Linked DNA regions of Drosophila melanogaster. The protein of the gene in region 2 interacts with the protein of the main gene of each other region in a pairwise test. Each region holds a gene or a part of one and is shown on either strand. Other genes may lie near its edges. The genes, in order: CG10472, CG42359 and Obp58d.

Region 1 (7,337 bases), on a different chromosome or scaffold from region 2:
GGTGCGGAAGTGGGTTACAAGAGGAAGCAAAGGAAGTCAGGAAGTCCAGCTGACGAAAAAAAAGCAGTTTCAACGGTCAATGAAGCAGTGCATAGAACGGAACAAGCAGCACTTTTAGGAAGCAGGATAGCAAGCAGTTTAAGGCATTTTAGTTTTACCTCCTCAAATCCCTTGAGAAAACCTGTGCCAAGGTTAAAGCCTCCAAAAGCTTTATTAAAGGAATTAAAATAAAAAGAAATAAATATATGCATAAATATACTCATAGGGAAATAAGAAAACATAAAGCTGTTAAGACAAACTGACCAGACACGCAACAAATTGGGAAATATCTAAATTTCAATACCAAAAACGTTTTTCAAATTTGTAAGCAGAGTATTCAGGCCAGGATAACAGATTTTTATTATCTAATTGTTTATAATTTATAAATTTAGAATTCATTTAAGTAATTGAGAAATTTAAATAGCAAATAGTAAAGCTCATCATAATAGTCGCCAAAATTAGTACGAAAGCAAGGCTCAAAGAAGTTGTTTCCCGTAGTACTTAAGTATTCCTATAAACGCTGAAGGCCCCGGTTGTAAGCAGTTTTAGAATCCCCGCATTCAGCTGAACAGGAAACCATGCAAAGGAAATACAGTTAGCAGTGAAAGCAGTCGAATCAACACAAGTGCCAGCAATTGCACTCGCAATTAAAAATTAAATGCGTGCGCGAACAAAGCGACCAAGCCAATGTCCAAACAATCTGCAAGTGCAAGTGCCACGCTGCTGCTGCTCATTTGGCTGACATGGCAAACGATGCAGTGCATCGCGTTGGACTGGCAGCAGGTTAAGCCGATGTACCTGGTGTCCATGTACCCGGGCCCCGCGGGTCTCTCCACTTCCTCGTCCTCCCCATTTTCCTCCTCCGGTTCCCTGGAGCACGATGCGGAAATGAGTGCCAGCAACGTGGACAATCGGCACATAAAGGGGCTGGGAATGGGCAGGGAGATGAGCGCTTTGAGCGAAGAGGACGATCGGGAGCCACTGGTTCTCAACTTGGAGACCACGCCGCTAATGGAGAAGATGTTACCCGAGGGCGCAATGGCGATGGATCGCATCTTCGGCGGTGATGTGGGCAATCCCCACTGTTTTCCCTACCAGGTGGGAATGCTGCTTCAAAGACCTAAGGGTCTTTACTGGTGTGGTGGCTCACTGATCTCTGATAAGCATGTCATCACCGCCGCTCACTGTGTTGACATGTAAGTGACCAGAAGAAATACTAACGATCCAATCATCTTAAGGTTCTACATTTTGCAGGGCGAAGAGGGCCTTGGTTTTCTTGGGCGCCAATGAGATCAAGAACGCCAAGGAGAAGGGACAAGTTCGACTGATGGTGCCAAGCGAAAACTTCCAAATCTACCCTACCTGGAATCCAAAGAGATTAAAGGATGACATTGCTATAGTAAGACTCCCTCATGCCGTCAGCTTTAATGGTGAGTTCTGGTCCTTAACAAAGTGAACTACCTATCTCTGAAATATACATAATTTTAGAGCGCATCCATCCCATTCAATTGCCGAAGAGGCACTACGAGTACCGCAGTTTTAAAAACAAACTGGCCATCGCATCTGGTTGGGGTCGTTATGCCACCGGAGTCCATGCGATCAGCAATGTGCTGCGCTACGTCCAGCTGCAGATAATCGATGGACGGACTTGCAAATCCAACTTCCCGCTATCCTATCGAGGTACAAATATATGCACCAGTGGAAGGAATGCCCGTTCAACTTGCAATGGTGATTCGGGAGGACCTTTGGTTCTCCAAAGGAGGCACTCGAAGAAGAGAGTCCTGGTGGGAATTACATCCTTTGGCAGCATATACGGTTGTGATCGAGGCTATCCGGCGGCCTTCACCAAAGTTGCCTCATATTTGGATTGGATCAGCGATGAAACTGGTGTAAGTGCCCACCAGGATACCACGGAGGCAATATTTTTCGACCAGTATGTGAGGGAATATGGGAAACCACGTCAAAGCCGACGCTTGGAAACGGAGGAGCAGTTGGAAGACGATGTGCCCGACGAACTAGATGTGCATCCGAGACCCGCTTCCGATGAGGACATCTCCGAGAATGTCAGACCGCGAACACGGTCACGCCCGCATTCCGAACACGAGTTCTATTTCTTGTAACCCAAAAATAAACGTTTATTTTAAGATCAAAATCAACGCTTAGTCGCCGTTGTTGACCACACCACTCTTCTCTTCGATCCAGTCCAGGTAGTAGGTGATACGGGTGAAGACACCGGGCCATCCCACCTCGCAGCCGAGAGCAATGCCGAAGGAGGTGGCTCCAATCAGGGTGTTGCTGCCGTCATCCAGGACCAAAGGACCGCCGGAGTCGCCGTTGCAGGTGGAAATTCCGCCGGTGGTCTTGATGCAAATGTTGCTGGCGGCAACCAGACCGAAGTACCAGGGAGAGCAGCCGCTGTTGTTCATGATGGGAACCGTAGCGTACTGCAAAATGTCGGTCGCTCCGGTAGCAGCTGTGTGGAAAGTAAGGAAATATAGTTTAGAACAGTTCTAAGATATTTATAGGAACTACGATTAAAAACATTTTTGAAGATTAAAAACTCATTAAAAAATTAATAATAGAATACTAAACTAACAAAGGATTATAAATAAAGTGTAAAAACAATGTTGCGAAATAACAACAAAAGCAGAAAAGAGTCCATAAAAATCGAATTTTGATAATAAATTTTAAGTGGCCTTTTAATCCAAAGGTAAAATAAAGCGTGAAATTGGGTTTTTTCGATCGTAAATTGCATTAACGAAATACCAAAAATAGAATTTTCTGATAATTTTAGTCACTTTCTAGAATAATTTTGGTTTCTTTTACTTAGTATTTAGTATTTAATATTTAGTGTTAGGATAGATACATTCGCCTCTATTCTACGACCTAAACTAACTCTCTAACCTAACTCTCACTACATATTTTTCGAGTGCTAAACTTGCTGGTTACGTTAAAAGAGCTTAACTTTCTCTAGTAGTTATAAAATTGTAGTTCAAGGGTGTAAGGGTCACTTACAGTCGCTGATCTTGCCCCATCCGGAGGCAATGGCATTCTCTCCGCCGTAGGTGCTGTAGCTGTCGGATTTCACGGGCAGCTTAGCGGGCTGGATGTACTCTGTAATGTATATTAGATAATTGAGAATTTCTGCTATAAAAACCAGTAACGAAGCACTCACTGTTGAACTCAATGGGCACTGGCAACTTGATCAGGGAAATGTCGTTGGTGATGGTCTCGGCGATCCAATCCTCGTGCACGATCACATTCTTTGTCTCCACGAAGATGATCTGCTGTCCCTCCTCCTTGGCGTTGGTGCGATCGTGGGCGCCCAGGTAGACATCCACTCCGGTGGTCAGGCTGTCCGTGCAATGGGCGGCGGTGATGATCCAGCGGTCACTGATGATGGTGCCTCCGCACCAGGCAGCTCCTCCAGTGATGTACAGCAGTAGTCCCACCTGGTAGGGGAACTGGTTGGGCTCGGCAATCTGTCCTCCAGTAATCCTACCGCTGGGCAGGGTCTCGCCATGGACCTTGGGCATCGGGGTCTCGATGTTCAGGTTCTTGACCGAATTCCAGTCCACAGCCTGGGCCCCAAGAATGGTGGCCAAGAGCAGAACCGTAGCGCAGGCGAATTTCATTTTGATCACAACTAAAGTGTTGGCCAAGAACTCGGGCACTTTTATACGGATTTTAAAAGGAGCGTGGGTATCGTAATTCATTGATAATCTTTGGTGAATTAACCCGGCTGTAGTTAACCGAGGTGATTTATAATCGTCTATTTGCCACTACTGATAGAGCCGATGCTACCGATATTCCAAGTGATAAGCAGGGCAAGCAAACCAAGAAGTGTGAATCGATTTGGCCTATATTGGCAATAAAACCCAATCATGAGCAGATTAATCAGTTCGTAGTAGGCTTATCTATTGCAGTGATGACAAACCAAAGGTAATTAACCATTTAACGATGGTATATTAAAGGTTTTCTGAAACTAGTATTATGTTGACCTAAGACTTATAATAATAATTTCTTAAATAGAATATTTTACTAGAACAAAGCAAATCACCTTTGGAATGTTATATTCTTTTGATAATGTAATTGTATTATCTTTGCTAGAGCTTATCTGTAACACTTGTATTGGCGGCGATAGCAAAACCGCCGACATCGATTAGCAAAGGGGTTTTGTGATTTAATTGCATAACCCATAGTGCCCACATTCATAATTCTACCAGTTTAAACTGCGATGTGCCTATGATATGAGTAAACAGTCCGATCGTACGTGTGAACTTCCTGCCGACTCATTATGATGTCATAACAGCCGATGCACTTCCCTCAATTCAATTAAAAGGTTCGGTATTTTCAAAACAACTTCCAAACTTAATTAAAGCATGATACTTATGGAATCAAATGGAAATAAAATAAGTAAAAAAACAAAACAGCTGAAACAAAAGCGGAGAACTAAGCGAGACATGAATCAAAACGGAAATGGATTTAATGCAACAATTTTTGTTTGCTCAATTGAAGGTCGTCTTAAAGTTGAGCGGGCCCAAACAAAAGCCGTCAGTCACAATAATCTGGCCGAGACGAAGTCTAACTGGCCACAAGTTCACAGAGAAGAGCCACAGAGAACCCCCGTACCGTTTCCCATAGAAGGACAGATTTACCCATTTAATTAGCACAGCTTTCTAAAAATTATACAGCTCAAACGACACCTGTCAAGTGCCCAGGTAGGCAGGCACACATAAAACCGAATTACCCATATGACACTATCTCGTTATAAATCTAAAACATAGCCGTTCTATTAGCTTCGCAACAATCGTTGATAGATACATTTAGCAAATTGGCAATAATAAATGGCAAAAGTCCTTGAAGCAGGCCCACCACAGCAGAGCTAATTAAAACATTAAATGCGTAGCAAACTTTTAAACTGTAACAAAAAACACATAGCCAACTGAATCCAAATCAAACTGGGTGTGAAGCTCGTTTCAGAGGGTCGAACACTTAAATACACTAGGATGTTCATAAAGTCCAACCATCAGAGGAGAATAACTTTACGATGTATATCTAGTGTGAACAAACAAAACTATGATTAAATTTAAATCATCAAACTCTGAAACCGCTGAACTTCAACGGCTGTTGATCCAATTTCATTGATGATCCACATATCCCCACATGATAAAAATATCTTAATTCAAATGCATGGCAAATGTCTAATCTTATTTATGTTACATACACTTAGCAAGTGTATAATAATAATGTAATTTATAAGGCGGGATTAAACTGGTTTAAAGCAGCAGCGGTCAAGAGAACAATATTTTCGAGTGCAGTTGTAATGAGAAGCGAAATTATTTGATATGGGTGCGACTTCATAATTAATAAAAATGCATACATGCGCCGCCGCCCCCGGTGTGTAACATCTTAAATATCTTAAATTGAAAACACGAAATTTGTAAATAAATAAGATAAAAAGGCATAAACACATCCAAATATTAATTTAACAGTTAAGCTCTGAATGAAATATATGTATCCGTCTAATTGCATGCACGCACTCTTACACAGAAACACAACAATCATATGCAGAATTCAAATCGAACGCGTTCAAAATTAATTTGATGTGTAAATCTTTCAAAAGTGTGTCTCGAAAAGGAATAATGATGATTGCCAGTTTAGGAAGGAGGAACAAGTAGTCCTAATAAGACGAAGACGATAATAAATAAGATAAGTTACAATCGTAAATAAGAAAATACTTTTACTGGAAAATGTTATGAGTTTGAAGAATTTTTCGCACTTATGTGAAATTCGTTTGATTAAAATCACAAGGAGTTTTCTCGACATAGGAAGAATGTTTATCTAATCATTTAAAATATATATGTTAATTAATAAAAAAAACCAAAATGTCTTAGCGGAAAAGTAATTTACACTGTTAATTGTTTTTTTTTTTTTTCAAACCATTGTGAAATACGTATTAGAATTTAATTTTTTGATGCACTACGCTATTATTTAAGCTCTGCATTCATATTCTATTATATAGATGTTAATCAATACAAATATATATCGAACCCAAAAATTATAGAAATTTTCCAAAAACAAATATGAATTCGCAATGGAAAAGTACTATCCTAATATCAGCAAATGATGAAATTCGTATTACAAAGCTGTTAATTAAAAAACAAACTTTAAATATTATTTGAGTATAAACTAGATTGTTTCTACAAAGTAAAACGTCTTGTTAATACTTGTTTTTCAAGCTATTCACAAATAAATATCAAGTAAATATGTTAATAAGTAGGGTAAACTACTAAAAGACGTACAATAATAAAAATAACTTTAATGGAAATATAAATTATTGAATAATCACATGATAACAATAGCAATTGCAACAATGAACTGTTAAGCTTAAATAAATTGCCGTCATGTCTTTGAAGGCTAATCCCCCCCACCTTCCTCGATCGACGGACTCTAACTCGTTTTGTTAGATGGCTTTATCCATTGTGGAGTTTACTACCCTCGCTGCTCAATTTATGAATGGCCCGTGACGTATTTATAAATATAACAAATAACAAATACTTTTTGCTTAGTTCCTCAATCTCGCCGAGTGGCTTTGGCATGAATCACGTGCATTCTACCACTTGTGGGGGTTATTAATAAAAATCTGGACCCAGCTGGGCCCAAAAGATGTGCACGGGCACCTTCCGAACTTCTGGGAGTCATGGATCGTTCGGCAGGCTTAAAAATAAGCAGCCAAGAGCTCTTAACACAAAATGCCGCCATAAGATCAGGCATCCGATATGATCGTTTGGGGCTCGCCTGCGTTCTGTATCCCCAGCCGATTCACAGCCGATTCAGAATACCGATCCGATCCGATACGAAACGAACCGGTTTGCCAGCTGTGTGAACCAAACAAACAGCTGCTCAGCTGCTAAACTTTCGCTGCCGGCGGTTTCTTGTTCTTGGCAGCAAGTGCAGCGTCTCAAGCCCCAAGCCCCAATCCGCAATCCGCAAACCCCAAACCCCCAAAGCCGAGCTTCTTGGCCGGGCTCATATAAAAACGGCATTTGGCGCGCGTGCTCAGTCAGTTGCAGATTTGAAACGGAAACGCGCGTGTGCGCCGCAATCGAATTCGATCGAGTATTTGGATTTCAAATTGGATTTTTACGCCGTTTCGGTCAAGTTCTGAATCACTTGTAGTGACACACATAAGGCAAGGTCGCGGAATACCACAGTGCCCCAAAGTCAATAGTTATGGAAGGCCAGGCCAAGCAAGCGTACTTCGTTAATGAAGCATTTACCTACGAGGAGCCGCC
Region 2 (7,279 bases):
ACAAATAAACAGGCAAAAGTCATTACTCAAATCTTTAATCATAGCTTTTATCTTCACTAGAAAATGTCGGTATTATTATGCGAATTGGGATTCAGTTTTGGCTTTTAACTAACTAATTTTAAGTCTCCGAAATATTTATAATGTGCATAAAACACGTGACTTTTGATACGAAATAAGGTTTTCAAACTCATGTATTTATGTCTGTAAAAATGTCCAAGTATTCCATAATTAATTTAAACAACATTGGTTTATGTGCATAACGCATTATAAGTAAATAGTTGCATATAAATCGCAAAATCAGGTCTTGTGAAATGGAAACTGTATTCTGAGCGCGAATTTGAATACGACCTTTTGGTCGGGTGGGTGTTGACGTCAGAGGTAAATTCAATTTTTGGCTTTTTTTTTTTTGGTTTTGCCTGGTCAAAATAACCGGTTCTGCCTTTGTTGTTGTTGTTGTTAATGCTGACGTTGGACAATTGAACAGCATGGTAGCAGGAATTCTGTGTAAAGATGGGGAGGGGGAGGGCGGCCATGTAATGCAGAAAATAAAAGGACGCGCCACTCGCTTGTTGCGCACATTTAGAGCGAGACGGGGCGACAAGCAAACAATTGTTTGCCGAACAAACAATTGTAATATGAAATAAGCGAAAGTGGCGAGCAATATAAAACAGAAGCCGGAATCGTAATCGCAACCGTGTAACAACAGATCCAGAAACACGGGAAATTGACCGCTCAACATAATGAATGCAAATGGGGAAATTGGGGATAAATAAACGCAATCGGTCAGTCCCCAAAAATACAACAAAAAAAAAAAGAAGAAAACCCCAAAAAAGAAAAACACGAGAAAGAGAAGCCCAAAAAGCGTATAAATAAAATGGTATACACAAAAAACCTACACACAAAAAACGAATCAACGAAAATTAATTGAGCGCGAGCAGCTGAAAACAAAAGAGAGCAAAGAGCGAGCATAAACAAACGAACGAGCGAGCGAACAACAACAACAGCGCAACAACCGCAATCGGACTGCTCTCTCACTCTCTTTTGTTGGGGGCGACATGTGTGCGAAAAAAGAAGCGAATATTTGATGAGTACGAAAAAAGTGGAAGATAAAAAGACATCGACACACAAACACAAATGAAAAAAAAACCGCCACCAAATGAATGGGAACGAGCATAAAAAGTCAAACAAGCGACTAAACGGAATGGTCAAGTAGTGCGGCACGACTGCAAAACGCTTTTGAAATTATTCTGGTTTAATTATTTGTTGACAGTCGCATTCGGCTTACAAATGTTTGGAGTTTAAAGGTTTTGACTTATTCCCCAAATAGCGAAGATTCGGAAATAAGGAAACAATAAGTATTTGACCAATGGAACACTGGACAAACACTTTGGAAATTGTGCTATTATTTTTTTTTTATAAAATAGGATATAGAGTCCTAACCAATAAATAAATTGTAATTCATTTGCTTTATATAAGTTTTTACATTAGGTAATTTTCAAGTAGCAATTAATATATAAAGGATATGCATATTAAATCGTTATAATTTTGTAATAGTAATAACTGTAAACGCTTTCATGTTATTTAACAAGGAAATCGCAAACTTTAAATCATTTTTGCAACATTTTTAAAAAAATAATGTCCTATAATCTTTTATGTTTTTCTCATAATAACACGTCAACTAATCATCGATTCGCAAAAAACCCCTCTTTCGAACAGTAAATATTTTGTTAAAAATGTGAATTTTACGGCGATCGTTTTCAAGTCTCACAATTATAACAAAAGCGACCACTGTGCGTGAGCGCGGGAAAGAGAAACAAACACCGCAATCGCAAGTGTGTTTGACCAATAAGGCAAATAAATAAAACATGCTCGTGCAGCGCAAAGTACTTACCAATTTGAAAGTGCCTTTTGTGTTCCGGCGTTCGGGTCTCGGATGCAGTCGCGGCCCCCTTTTTTATGTTTGTGGGCCAACTTTTGTTGATATTTTGGAGCACGTGTTCGCCGACTGATTGTGGGTGGGAGCCCGCCTGGGAGCTTGCCTGTTTCGCACACTGACACACTCACACACACTGGCGCAGGTGATTTGTTTGTGGTCTGCGGCACTCTATTTTCGTACTTTTGTTTGTTTTTGGGCACCCCTTGCGATTGATTTATTTAGCGAAAATTAGCGAATTTAGTGGGGATTTGCGTAGTTTGCTACGTTCTGCTTTGCCGTCGGGCCTCTCTTTCGCACACAGAAGAGACTCTCGAGTGGCAACAAGAAAAAATGGCCGCGCACGCCAAAAATACACACACACACCAACGCACACACACGGCAAGCTTATGTTTTTTTTTGCTTTTTCTGCACTTGTGCTTTTTTGCCCTTCTTGTATCGGACTCCCGAAATATTAGTTTTTTCAGCGACCAACAACGATTAATTGCATTTACAACGAACACGTTGCGAGGGGGGCGTGGAGCTGGAGCAGTTGGGGGCGTAAGCTCCGCTCTTCGGTTGTTTACGTCGCGGCAAACGCAAAAAAACACCAACAGAAGCAGCAGAACAGGAGGAGCTAGAATAACTGTTCGTGTTCACGACCGTCGAAAAACTGACTGAAAAAAAATCACAGCGAAGAGCGTCTTTTTTCAGAAGTTGTTTTTCGCTCTCTTCTCTCTCCGCACAAACGCACACTAGTGAAAAAGGCTTGTTTATGTTTTTTATGTGTGCGCTCTCACTCTCTCGCGCTCTTTTTTGTTCCCGGCGCCACAGAGTTTTTTTTCGGTTTCGGGGAGGAGGCGTGCTCTTTTTTTCGAATACCAAATTTAATTGGGCCAAATTCTGGGGAGAGAAAAACAAAAAGAACATATAATATCCTGCATCCTTTCTGCAGTGCCATTGCCCTGACTTTTGGCGGTATTTTCTATTTTTGGGAATCTGAAATTACAATTTAAGCTTTTAGCGAATCCTAATCTAGGAAACAGCAATAGTGGTACATAAGGTCCTCCGTGCTGGACATGATGCACATCACCCGGAACAGTGGCACAAAGAGTTTATCCAAAATATTAGGATGTTCTCCTGGCTGTATTGAAAATTCCGTGCCACTGGATCTTCGCCTATGAGCTGTTGAACTTTGTTACCATTTTATAACTTACACTTACATATGTATATTATTATAATCTATTATATAATATCAATGTTATTGTAATTATATTATTTTGCGCGCTGAATTCATGCCTATGCGATTCTATTGTATAAATATATATGTATTTATATATATGCATTTGTTAATACTTCTGAAAAAGAAAATGAAGAACTTAAATATCCGTTACATATTATATAATATTATTGATAATATTATTATAAGAAAAATATGTCTTGAAGATCAAATTGAAGATAAGAATTTTAAAGTTCCGGAAACTGATAATTATTTTATAACTCCTCATAATTTTTAAGGTTTTTTTTTTTACAAAATCAAAACATTTTTTGTTGTTTACCCTTGAAATATTTCTTTATTCACATTTTCTACATTAAAGTGCTGCGCCAAATATAAAATTTGAGCCTCCAAAAGAATTAAAAAATTTAACTTAAAAATAAAAAATATTAATTTATGTATATTTGAAATTAAGCAGCAGTCAAAGTTATTTTAGTAGTTTATTGATGTTTAGTGGGCTAAGATTGTTCCTGAGGGGAGTTCCGCTGTGCACCACAATGGACTGAAATGAATATTCCCGGATTCCTTCTTCATTTCCGCCAGCGGTTAAAACCTGCAAAGTGACAGTGTGTCAGTTTTAATAACTAAAAAGAAAGTGCAAGTATCTACCGATTCATTTACATGGATATCAGTCGTGATTTTCGAGGAGACTCTTTTCTGAAAGTCGAATTGAAAGCGTTAAAAGCCAATACAAAAGTTTCCGGGTGCTGGCTGATGGACTCAACGTCTGTTCTTCGCACCAAGGACATTGTAGGATGCGATCCTCAGCCTTGATATCGTCTATCAACTCCTGGGCAAACATAGAAAGGTACGTTTCCTTAAAGTCCTTAAAGAATAGCGTGCTTCATTTTAATATTTTTTAATTAAAGCAGCCGTACAGACCCCAAAACAAACGACACACCAGAAACAAATTGGAAAAAACTTGATTTAATTCCAATTTACCAACTTATGCACGATAAATAAAAGCATGATTCTAAATTTTGGTAAACCTCCAAGAACGCGCACACTTTGACATTTTAAACTGCGGCTTTATCGCGCCAAAATTTTTAACCATGAAAATATTCTTGTGTTGGCAATGCTTGAAGTACAGTAATTTTTGCTCGCAACGTATGGCCACACTGCCAATTTATTTGTAAATTTGATACCCTGTATGTAAATATATTGGATAGAACATATATGTTTTGTAGTTATCGTTGGCAAAATTAGAACAACCTTTACATTAATTGTAGATATTTTCAAAACATGAATAACAATATGATTTGTTTCAAACGCCACATGCTTATCTCCAGCCCTGACATTCGATAAGCATATATCGATAAAGTCGTGATTGGGGTTGCACCTATTCTAGCGCAAACAACACATACACGTGCACGTGACGACAATGAGTAAAAAACCGCATTCCATAAAAGTTCCCACCCAATACAGGGCGACTGCCAAGATTTTGAAGGCGGCACTGGAGCAGCAGAAGTGCATCAAGACCCTAATATTTGCAGAGAAGCATGCCGTAAGTGGATTGGACCTCTCGTCCGCAGATCAAACCAATATGCGTATAACTTTTCCCTCTCGCACTTCACTTGTAGCGTACACGCTCTTTGCATACGGTTCTGAAAAAATTTAGCGAAAATCGTGTGGCACTGGAAAAGGCCATCGAAGAGACAGGACTGCTCAGGGACAATCCCAGTTTTGATCCCAGTTTGGCCAAGATTCTAGTCACCGAACTGCTGTTTGGCAGGAAGGAGCTGAACGGCGAAAGCAAACCCGTGCAAACGGTGCGAAGTTACAAGGATCGACTGCTAAATTCCATCAGAGATTTCGGTGTCCAGCGAAAAGGCAGGTTATCACACCGATTACCAGTATTAGCCGGCTGAGATGGGCAAGAAGAACAGGAAACAACAGCATGTCGATGTGGTGCCAGCTACCACTGATGATTCCCCGGCTGTCATTGATTCTCCCGTGGAGCATCATACGCAGCAGGAGGACACCAGTGCGGAGGTCTTCCTCTGGCTGTTGGCCTACAGTGTGCTCATGTTCACGCTGCCCTTCTTGGGCTTCTATGGCGTCCGCAGCTGGCTGCAGGAGTCCTTCCCCCATTTGGACCTTTTCACGGTCAACTGTTGGTCAGTTCTCACGGCTGTTGTGGTTGTTAACCTCGTGGTGGCCATGTATGTATTAAAGGCTTTCCGCGAGAAGCCCCCACCACCCTTGGAACCCGTGCAGCAGGATGAGGACGACGAGCCGGAAGCTGCGGAGCCAAAGAAAGAACAGTAACTTAAGTGCTGCCAGCCAAGTCCAGATTATTTCGATCGTTTAAAGGACCAGTAACGACTCTTAACAACTCTTAATAAATCTTACTTTGGCTACAATTTTGAACTCGTCTTTTTGTTTGCCCACACAGAACCCAATCCTCGATATGTGCGCATCAACACAAATCTATACAGCTTGGCGGAGGCCTTGGACTACCTGCATAAAAGCGACTGGCGGCGCAAGGAGCTGCCTGCGGACGCCAGCTATGCGGATTTTCTGACTGCCATCAAATCGCTGGCGGAGAACGAGTTCATGACCGATCTGCACGTTGAGGGTGTGCTCATTTTTCCTGCCAAGTGGTCCAACTACTGGGTCCGCCATCCGTTGGTGCACAGCAAGAGGTTTATACTGCAGAACAAGGCCACCTGTTTGGCCGCCGAACTACTTGCTCCGCCGTCTGGGGCCACTGTGCTGGATATGTGCGCAGCTCCCGGTATGAAGACAGTGCACATATGCAATGTGATGCAGAACAAGGGATGCATCTACTCCGTGGAGCAGGACCACGTACGCTACAATACGCTGTGCGAAATAACAAAGGATGCTGGTTGCGATATTGTAAAACCCATTTTGGGAGACGCCTTGAACCTAAGTGAGTTTTATATTTATATATTTCACAATGAATATTTAAAAAAGTAACACGTTTGAATTTCAGCACCCGAACGCTTTCCGGACGTAGAGTACATCCTGGTGGACCCTAGTTGCTCTGGCAGCGGAATGCAAAACCGCATGACCGTGTGCGACGAGCCGAAGGAGGACAAGCGGCTGCAAAAGCTGCAGGGTTTGCAAATTAAGATCCTGTCGCACGCGATGGGCGCCTTTCCGAACGTCAAACGCATTGCCTACTGCACGTGTTCGCTGTGGAAGGAGGAAAACGAGCAGGTGGTGCAGCGTTGTCTTCAGCTAAATCCATCCTTCAAGCTGCTCAGCTGCAAGAAGGCCTTGCGCAACAAGTGGCACAATGTGGGCGACAAGGACTATCCCAATATTGGCAAGAACGTCCTGTATTGCCAGCCGGACAGTGATCTTACCGATGGCATCTTCCTGGCCCTTTTCGAGAAACGCCGCGAGGGCGAAAAGGATTAGTTGTTTCAAACGCAAGAAGGACATTTGTTTCCTTAAATTGTAACCATTTCTTTATTTGGCACTCGAGCCATTGAATTTTTCATTTTCAGAATATGTGTACACATTTTTTAAAAAAATAAAAAAATTATATAATGCTGGCGGTTGTTTCATGTGTGAAAAATTGATCAATGGTAAACAAAATTGAATAAATATATAACATATATATATATATATATATATATATATATATATATATATATAGATATGTGTGTTGAAATGAATACTTGCGATACATGTAATAAAAATACTCTTCGCTTATCTATCAAAAAGTGCGGAATGTCAAAATTTAAAATTTTACAATGAATGCGTAGCCGACGACGAAAGTGTTCCTTGCTATTTCCTTTAGCAAGATTTAAATTTAGATTAAATTCTAATGATACGATTGACAGTTCGAAATTCAAAGTGTTCCTTTTTCAAAATTTAGTAAAGATTGTAGATCAATTGTAGATATATCGAAATTTTTCGGCCGCAAGCGAACATTTTACGAAATGAAGGCGACCAGTTGCAGACCAATTCCATTCATCAACTTTCGGATTGTAAGATATTTCTATCGGCCACGACGATTGAACAAGTATTACGATATTGTAAGTCTTCTTTAACAAAATTAGTTTCCCTTTCACAGAAACAGACATAAATTCTTGAATTATTGACTTGGATTTGAGTGA
Region 3 (7,076 bases), on a different chromosome or scaffold from region 2:
TAAACTATTTCGTTGACTTAAACTAAGTCTGGCCTACCATAAAGTACTGCATCACCTCCAGATAGCTCTTGCTCGCCTTGTACTTCACCGACATCAGCATCATGCAGTAATCCCTGTCCGGATAGGCGCTGAAAATGGCCACCATTGCGTTGAAGAGGCGTGGCAGTGGGAAATCCTGTCGTGCCACAATGCACCTGAGAAGGAAAACGTTTGATGCCGCCGCCATGGCCGCCGGACCTGCGGGCTCCGTTCCGGCCGGATATATAAAATTAATCACGCTTTGTTCGTGCCGCAGATAGTAATCGGTGCTGTGGAGTTCTAGATAAACCCATGTTATGAACGGAGCATCCGGCATTCGCAGTACAACTCACTCTCAAGAATGTACTTGAACTTGGAGTACAGACATTCGCGCATGTAGAACTTATTTTCATTCGCCACATTTGTATCCACAATTGTGCCGCCAATGGAGCTGACCTTCATCTTACCCAGGCTGGCCACGCTGTTGAGAAATATAAATCATTGTGGATATTTGCCTTACAAATTAATAAATAATCACACCTCATACCGCTGTCAACCTTTTGCAGTCCTCCCAGAATCGTCACCGCATTCAGATCGTCGAGGGCATCTGCGGTGAACATGCTAGCCTCCGCTCTTCGCTGTACCGATCTGCAGGACAGTCGGTAAGGAATTACTCTTTCCGCACGTAAAGCCATCACTTACGACACCGTCATCGTCTCGTAGTGGAAGGACCTTCCATCCGCTGGCTTCACCAGATTGCCAAATTGTTCCATCTCGTAGTTGCGCACATAGAACATAATGTCTATATCCGAGGACAGCCACAGAAAGATGGCCATTTCTGACTCCTGCGACTGATTGATTGTTTCGGCCACAACAAGCATACTCTTCGGATTCTGTCCCATTACCTCCTCGGCAATGTAGTAGTCGCCCAGCTCCTCTCGCATTTCTGGGTTCTCGACCTCTTGCATTGCTATAATATCGTCGTTATCTTCGGCCCTTCATGGGAAATATTTAAAACAAAACAAGAATGTTATTGAAACAGTTTCTTCAAATGCCTAACAATATCTAACAATATCTTAGTAGGCGATATCGATTTCAGACAAACTGATTAGTAGTCTGCTGCTTTTTAAGAGGCATTTGAATTTAAAATTTCAAATGCTATTTCTGATATAGTATACAATTTGAACAAGGAGCACAAAGAACAGAGCTTACAGTGCCTTCCGGTAAGTAATCCTCGGCAGAATTACGAACCTATCCACAATGTACAGGGACTGTGTGTTGTTATTCTTATCCATGCTATATTCCAGCGGGTAAAAGACCTGGGATATTTTTTCCAAATCATCGAAGGTTTCCACAAAGTGGATGGGTTGTGGCACATACGGACACCTAACAGTGATCAGAAACCACACCCTGCTCTCCCTGTAGAGCACATCCTTTATGATCTCAACCAGAACCGGGGACTGATCGCTCTTGTAGACGCAAAAGTTGAAAAACAACGCATTCAGCCAGCTAATGGACATGGATAGGCTAAAGGATATATCGGAAATAGATGATATATTCAACGTTTTAAGTCCTTGTATCAGTACCAGTATCTGGTGGACAACCATTCCAACCAGCAATCCGTGGGCAAAGCGGCAATGGAGGGATAGTTACGGAACTCGGCATAGGCCACCAATGCGGAGGATTCAGTGCAAAAAGCCAATATCCTGTAGGTCTGATAGGAATTGAACAGGGAGTCCTTGCCACGAAATTTCGGACGGATATTGCCGAACCACTTGACACCTGGCGATCGAATCAGCTTGTTGAGCCCATCCTGGTCTCCCGCTTGAGCCAAGCGAATCTGAAACTGATTCATCAGTGCGAATAATTTATGTGTGTGGTGTGTGATTAAAACTAAAAAACATACTGCGTTTATAAGCTTAATTTTATTACATGACATTTTTGAGTTTTTTTAATACGTATTCTTAGGCAGGACTCTTTGTGGGCAGTGTAATTCCATCTATTTGGTAGCATTCGGCTTTGGCATTTTCGCACATATCCTTAGTTCCTGCCTTGGCAGTGCCCTCCCACCGGAAGTAGGGACACTCGTGCTTCTGATGATAGTCACTGATGCACATGAATACCATCAATAGATAGGGGCGACAGGCTCCTTTCAGGAGCACCTTAGCCCCAGGACTGGCCTTTAAAAGGTTGTAGACCCCAACAGCATCCTTGCGACAGAACTCGAACATGGCAATGTGATAATCCTTCTCCTTGGGCCGATCCACAAATGTCTTTTCTGCATCCAGCTTGACCATCTTCATGTTGATGGTGTCGCTCTTACCAATGTACTTCTTTTGCTTGTACAGGCACTCCACAAAGCACTGAAGATACAAATATTTTCGTTATAATAGATATATAAAGCTTTAATTACCTACCGATAGAAACCTCAGTGTCTTGCCGATGTCAGCGTCCCCATCCACTGGCAACTTGGGTGAGTGTATAACGAAGCACTTGACCAGGTCCTCCTCTTCTCCTATATAAAGTTCAGAACAGCAGCCAGCCCTCTAAATTGAATTTTTAGACTTAATACGTTTGCTGTTCGGTTTTAAAGTAAGCTCACCGATGTGTTACACTTATCCTCAGTCAAGTCACCTGAAGATATGGCAACTGCAGTAGTTTCCTCATTATCCTGAGCCTTTGAAACGGCCACCAGAATTAGGAACGTCCAATAACAAACAATGTTGACCATTGCTTTTCGAATGTGATTAATTTACCATGGTCATAACATTTATAAAACCATGCGTGCTCATCATTTTGGATAAATGAATTTAAACCCAAATTGGATTGCTTAATTAAATGTAACAAATGTCCATTGTAATGACTGGAATTAAATGAGCGGATAAAGAAACATTTGCAGACAGTCTGATGGCTCGACATTTGGCAAATTGGCAGCGGTTTCCTGTTTTTATTTAAACGATATGTGGGTGACTATATAAGCTGTCGTAGTGGGCTGATTTTGGTATAAACGGCGGAGCAATGAAGTGCACCATTTTATTGAGTTTTTTCAGCCTGATTTGGGTGAGTTCGAGGAATGAAATTCACACTGTTTATATATATTCAAATACATGACTTAGTTTGCTGGTGGAATTAAAATTGATTGCGAGAATACGGAGGCCATTAACGAGGACCACATCCACTATTGCTGCAAGCATCCCGATGGACACAATGATCTAATCGAAGGATGTGCCAGGGAGACCAATTTTACGCTGCCCAATCAAAACGAGGAGGCACTGGTGGACATCACGGCGGACCGAGCCATCCGAGGCACTTGTTTTGGCAAATGCGTCTTTAGCAAACTGAACCTGATGAAGGACAACAACCTGGACATGGATGCCGTGAGAAGTTTGTTCACTGAAAGGTTTCCCGACGATCCGGAATATGCCAAGGAAATGATCAACGCCTTTGATCATTGTCACGGCAAAAGTACAGAGTTGTTATTTCAGCAAGAACTTCTTGGCTAACTGATATTTTTTTCACCAAAAGGCGAAGAGAATACCTCCATGTTCCTGTCGAAGCCCCTCTTCAAGCAAATGTCCAAGCAATTCTGCGATCCGAAGTCTAGTGTCGTCCTGGCCTGTGTCATCCGCCAGTTCTTCCACAACTGCCCGGCGGATCGCTGGTCGAAGACCAAGGAGTGCGAGGATACCCTGGCCTTCAGCAAGAAGTGCCAGGACTCGCTGGCTACTTTGTGAATAATGAGAATATCATTCTTCTGCAATAAAGAACATTAAATTTACGATTTACGACATTCGAATTATTTTGTTTAGATGAAAAAATGTTATGCATTCAGAATTATTCTGTATATTTGGATGTTTTTTTTTTTATAGGGATGTAATGGTAAACAAATACGATCAACTTGACATTAGTTAATATCGTATTTTTGCAAGTGATTTGATAACAATAAATCCATTTAATTAAATGTATTGCTGAGTTGGCATTCAATCACCCACCATTACTTATAAACCAAAAGAGCACATGAATTGAGAGCCATTGTTTTGCTTTAATCATTGGAAAATCATTTCGTTTTCCCAATTAAAATGTATTTCCTGAGGCAGGACTCTAAAGTGCTTACATAGTAGTCAGCACATCCTTGCACTTCCTAGCAAAGGCCAAGGTTTCCACGCACTCGGTGGTATTTGACCAGCGACTCGCTGGACAATTGTGGAAGAAGTTGTAGATGACGCAGGACATGATGATACTCGAGGTCGGCTTACAGAACTTGGCGGTGGAGAAGGCCCTAACAATTGGAAGTGATAGGAACTTTTCGGTGGCCTCTTCAGCTAAAATTTGGAATGGAAAAATTCAATTTTAAACTATGTTGATGGTTATTTTGCATGAGCTCACATTGTGTGTGACATTTTTCGTAGGCATTCAGCATTTCAGTCGCGTACTCCGGATCTGTTTGATGGTACCGCTTGTAGTACGAGCGCACCTTGTCCATATCCAGTGTGTTGTTCTCCATCAGATTGTAGTGATCGAAGACGCACTTGGCCCAGCAGGTTCCAACCATCGCCTGGTCCACGGTCACATCCACGATGGCCTCCTCATTGGGACTGGGCAAACGAAAGTTGGTCTGCTTGGCGCAAGATTCCGTGACATCGTCGTGGCCATCCTGATGTTTGCAGCAATGGTGGATGTTCTCCTCGTGAATACGCTCCATGTGCCGGCAATGAACTCGGACAGCCACGAGTCCATTCTGCATAGAAATATGCACATATTAAAGGATTAAAAAGTAGCTCGAATACGGATCCCCGATGGACCTTGAACTTTCAAAATTATTATGTACAATAAATCCGATCTAGTGTGGATAATCCATTAAAAACACCCTCGAACATTATCCAATCCAGAACAAATTGAAAACGGTGTTATGAGTACGTACCAAGCGCAGTGATATAATCACACAAATCACGAAACCAATTCTCAGCATGATGACAGCTTTCCAGCGGTTCGTCCTCAGTTTTATATGTCAAATGGTTCCCCTTTGATGGACAGCCCTAATGGCGTTTTCCACTGTTTCGCATTAATTTAATTCGCATCCATTATTATGGCAACAAACCTGGCGACGAAAAGCGAAATTATATGGAGTGGGTGGGCTAGTGAATCTTGTCATGGCAACGCCGGCAGTCAATTTATTATTTATTTTCCAAGGCGGCTCTTTGCTCGCCTAATTAGTCAGAGATTGGCCTTTGAAATTTGATAAGCTGATTTTTGGTAGCCGTAAAAAAAAAAAACTAAATCATGGGCAAAAAGGGTAAAGGAAAAGGCAACAAATTGGCCAACATGTCCGAGGAGGAGCGGGCCAGGTATTTGCAAATGAGGGCCGACATGGAGGAAGAGACGAGGCGGCGGAAAATGCAGCTCATTTCCATGTACATGAAGGTAACACACCACGAATTTGCAGTAAATCAAAATCAAAATCCCTATGGTATGACTTTTCCCATTAAAATAGAACAAACTGAAAAGAGAGGATGCTTTTGGTCGACTCAATATGGCTAAAATCAACCAGGAGTGGCGGAGCATTTTGCGCCAGGTGAAAATCCAGGAGCTGCGCCGCGAAATCGTCGATGTGGAGTCTTTCTTTCAGGAGGCACTTAAGCGCAAGGACCAGGTGATCCATCGCCTCATTGCTCACATAGAATCCACCGAGGATATGTACGCCAATCTGCAGCAGTCACACATGGAGAATATCACCAGGATAGTTGGTACGATTGGGATAACATCCTTAAAAATAACATTTTAATCAGAAACTAAATACACAGCTACAGCAATATGTTTAAAGATACTTAAAATGAATGGAATGGATTTCACATGTATATTAATGCTTTCGTTAATAAGAACATTGAAATATTTGGAAATCCAAAAATTACTGGAGTATTTTGATGTACATTTTATGAACAATAAGAAGCATTGTAAAATGAAAATTAAAATGGACACAAACCATTCAACGCAACTAGGCCTCATTTCTAACCCATTTATTTCTTATCCTTTACCCAGATACCCATAGAGATCGCATCGAGTTCTTTCGGACGATCTACGAGGACGACAAGCAGGCGGTGCTGAGCCAGTGGGAGCAGGACTCCGCCGCGTTCAAGGAGATGCATGCCCAGAAGCAGCAGCAACTGGAGTGCGTCTTCTATCAGCTGGAGGAGAACACCGATGGCGGGATCCGGGACAACCACGAGCGTTTCTTGGACCGCTGCGAGGACCTAAAAAGTGGGGTGAGTTTAATCCTAATTGAAGAGCATGTTGCCGTGCTCCTCCCAATCCTCGCACTGCGCCTTCGCGTACTCCGACATGCACTTGACCAGTTCCCGGGCCGCTGAACACTTGTGGTGCCGGCCCCTTCCGTTGCTCTCCAGATAGCGGAAGCACTGCTGCACGGTGTCCGTGAAGAAGTTGCGCAGCTCCCGGTCCCGAAGGTCCTTGGTCAGCAAATAGCTCACCTTGCGCCGATCGGGCATCCCATTGCCATCCACCTGTGGGTGAGAATTGAAAGGAATAAGCTCCTGCTTCTCTGAAGGATTTCGACTTTGAAAGGAATCTCTTGGATCACCTACCATATTCATCTCCTCGAAAAAGCACTGGGCCACACACTGACCTCCATCGTTGCTGGTGTGGTTCCTGCCATCCGATTGCCTTAGTCCTCGCTGCCTTCGATTGCCATAGCCGCCCCTGTTGCCTGGATTCCTGTCCTGCTCCTCCTGATCGTGATCCATTCCGTAACCGTACTCATAGCCATTTCCTTGCCGGCCCTGTCCACCTCGTCCTCGATCTTCGTCCTCGTCCTGGCGATGCATACAGTTGCGCACAGTTCGCTTGAGCTCCGCTTCACTTAGTCCCTCCTGGGATCTGCATTTCAGTGCGTAAATGGAGCAGGTGCCGCAGCTCAAACAAATCAGCAGGAAAATCAACTGTTTCATCTTGGGAACTGAATGGAGGAGCAGCTATGCCCACATCATTTATAGTTCTGGAGAATGGCATCCAAATTACAGAGTGACTGACGCACAATGAACCAA

What was found.
Region 1: the proteins of CG42359 (region 2) and CG10472 interact in a two-hybrid assay, tested with the Drosophila melanogaster proteins (one large-scale study listed by BioGRID).
Region 3: the proteins of CG42359 (region 2) and Obp58d interact in a two-hybrid assay, tested with the Drosophila melanogaster proteins (one large-scale study listed by BioGRID).

What each region holds. Positions count from the first base shown.
Region 1 is NT_037436.4:6,059,220-6,066,556, forward strand, and holds CG10472 (uncharacterized protein), read right to left. Parts: upstream 3,692-7,337; 5' UTR 3,675-3,691; coding exon 3,215-3,674; intron 3,154-3,214; coding exon 3,055-3,153; intron 2,513-3,054; coding exon 2,199-2,512; 3' UTR 2,160-2,198; downstream 1-2,159. Other genes in the region: CG6592 (uncharacterized protein), read left to right, coding at 727-1,235, 1,294-1,469, 1,528-2,159; CG42269 (uncharacterized protein), read left to right, coding at 7,276-7,337.
Region 2 is NT_033777.3:19,159,529-19,166,807, reverse strand, and holds CG42359 (uncharacterized protein), read left to right. Parts: upstream 1-4,507; 5' UTR 4,508-4,569; coding exon of another isoform or gene 4,570-4,692; intron 4,693-4,768; coding exon of another isoform or gene 4,769-5,018; 5' UTR 5,019-5,057; coding exon 5,058-5,456; 3' UTR 5,457-5,549; downstream 5,550-7,279. Other genes in the region: Nsun5 (Nop2/Sun-like domain containing protein 5), read left to right, coding at 4,570-4,692, 4,769-5,018, 5,584-6,081, 6,145-6,575; CG11779 (uncharacterized protein), read left to right, coding at 7,103-7,198.
Region 3 is NT_033778.4:22,702,621-22,709,696, reverse strand, and holds Obp58d (Odorant-binding protein 58d), read right to left. Parts: upstream 2,764-7,076; 5' UTR 2,750-2,763; coding exon 2,621-2,749; intron 2,565-2,620; coding exon 2,436-2,564; intron 2,382-2,435; coding exon 1,983-2,381; 3' UTR 1,925-1,982; downstream 1-1,924. Other genes in the region: CG30275 (uncharacterized protein), read right to left, coding at 38-318, 372-499, 559-666, 721-1,014, 1,231-1,545, 1,605-1,873; Obp58c (Odorant-binding protein 58c), read left to right, coding at 3,037-3,078, 3,135-3,483, 3,544-3,752; Obp58b (Odorant-binding protein 58b), read right to left, coding at 4,129-4,340, 4,405-4,756, 4,940-4,987; Obp59a (Odorant-binding protein 59a), read right to left, coding at 6,291-6,536, 6,618-6,980; CG30259 (uncharacterized protein), read left to right, coding at 5,299-5,439, 5,510-5,762, 6,055-6,278.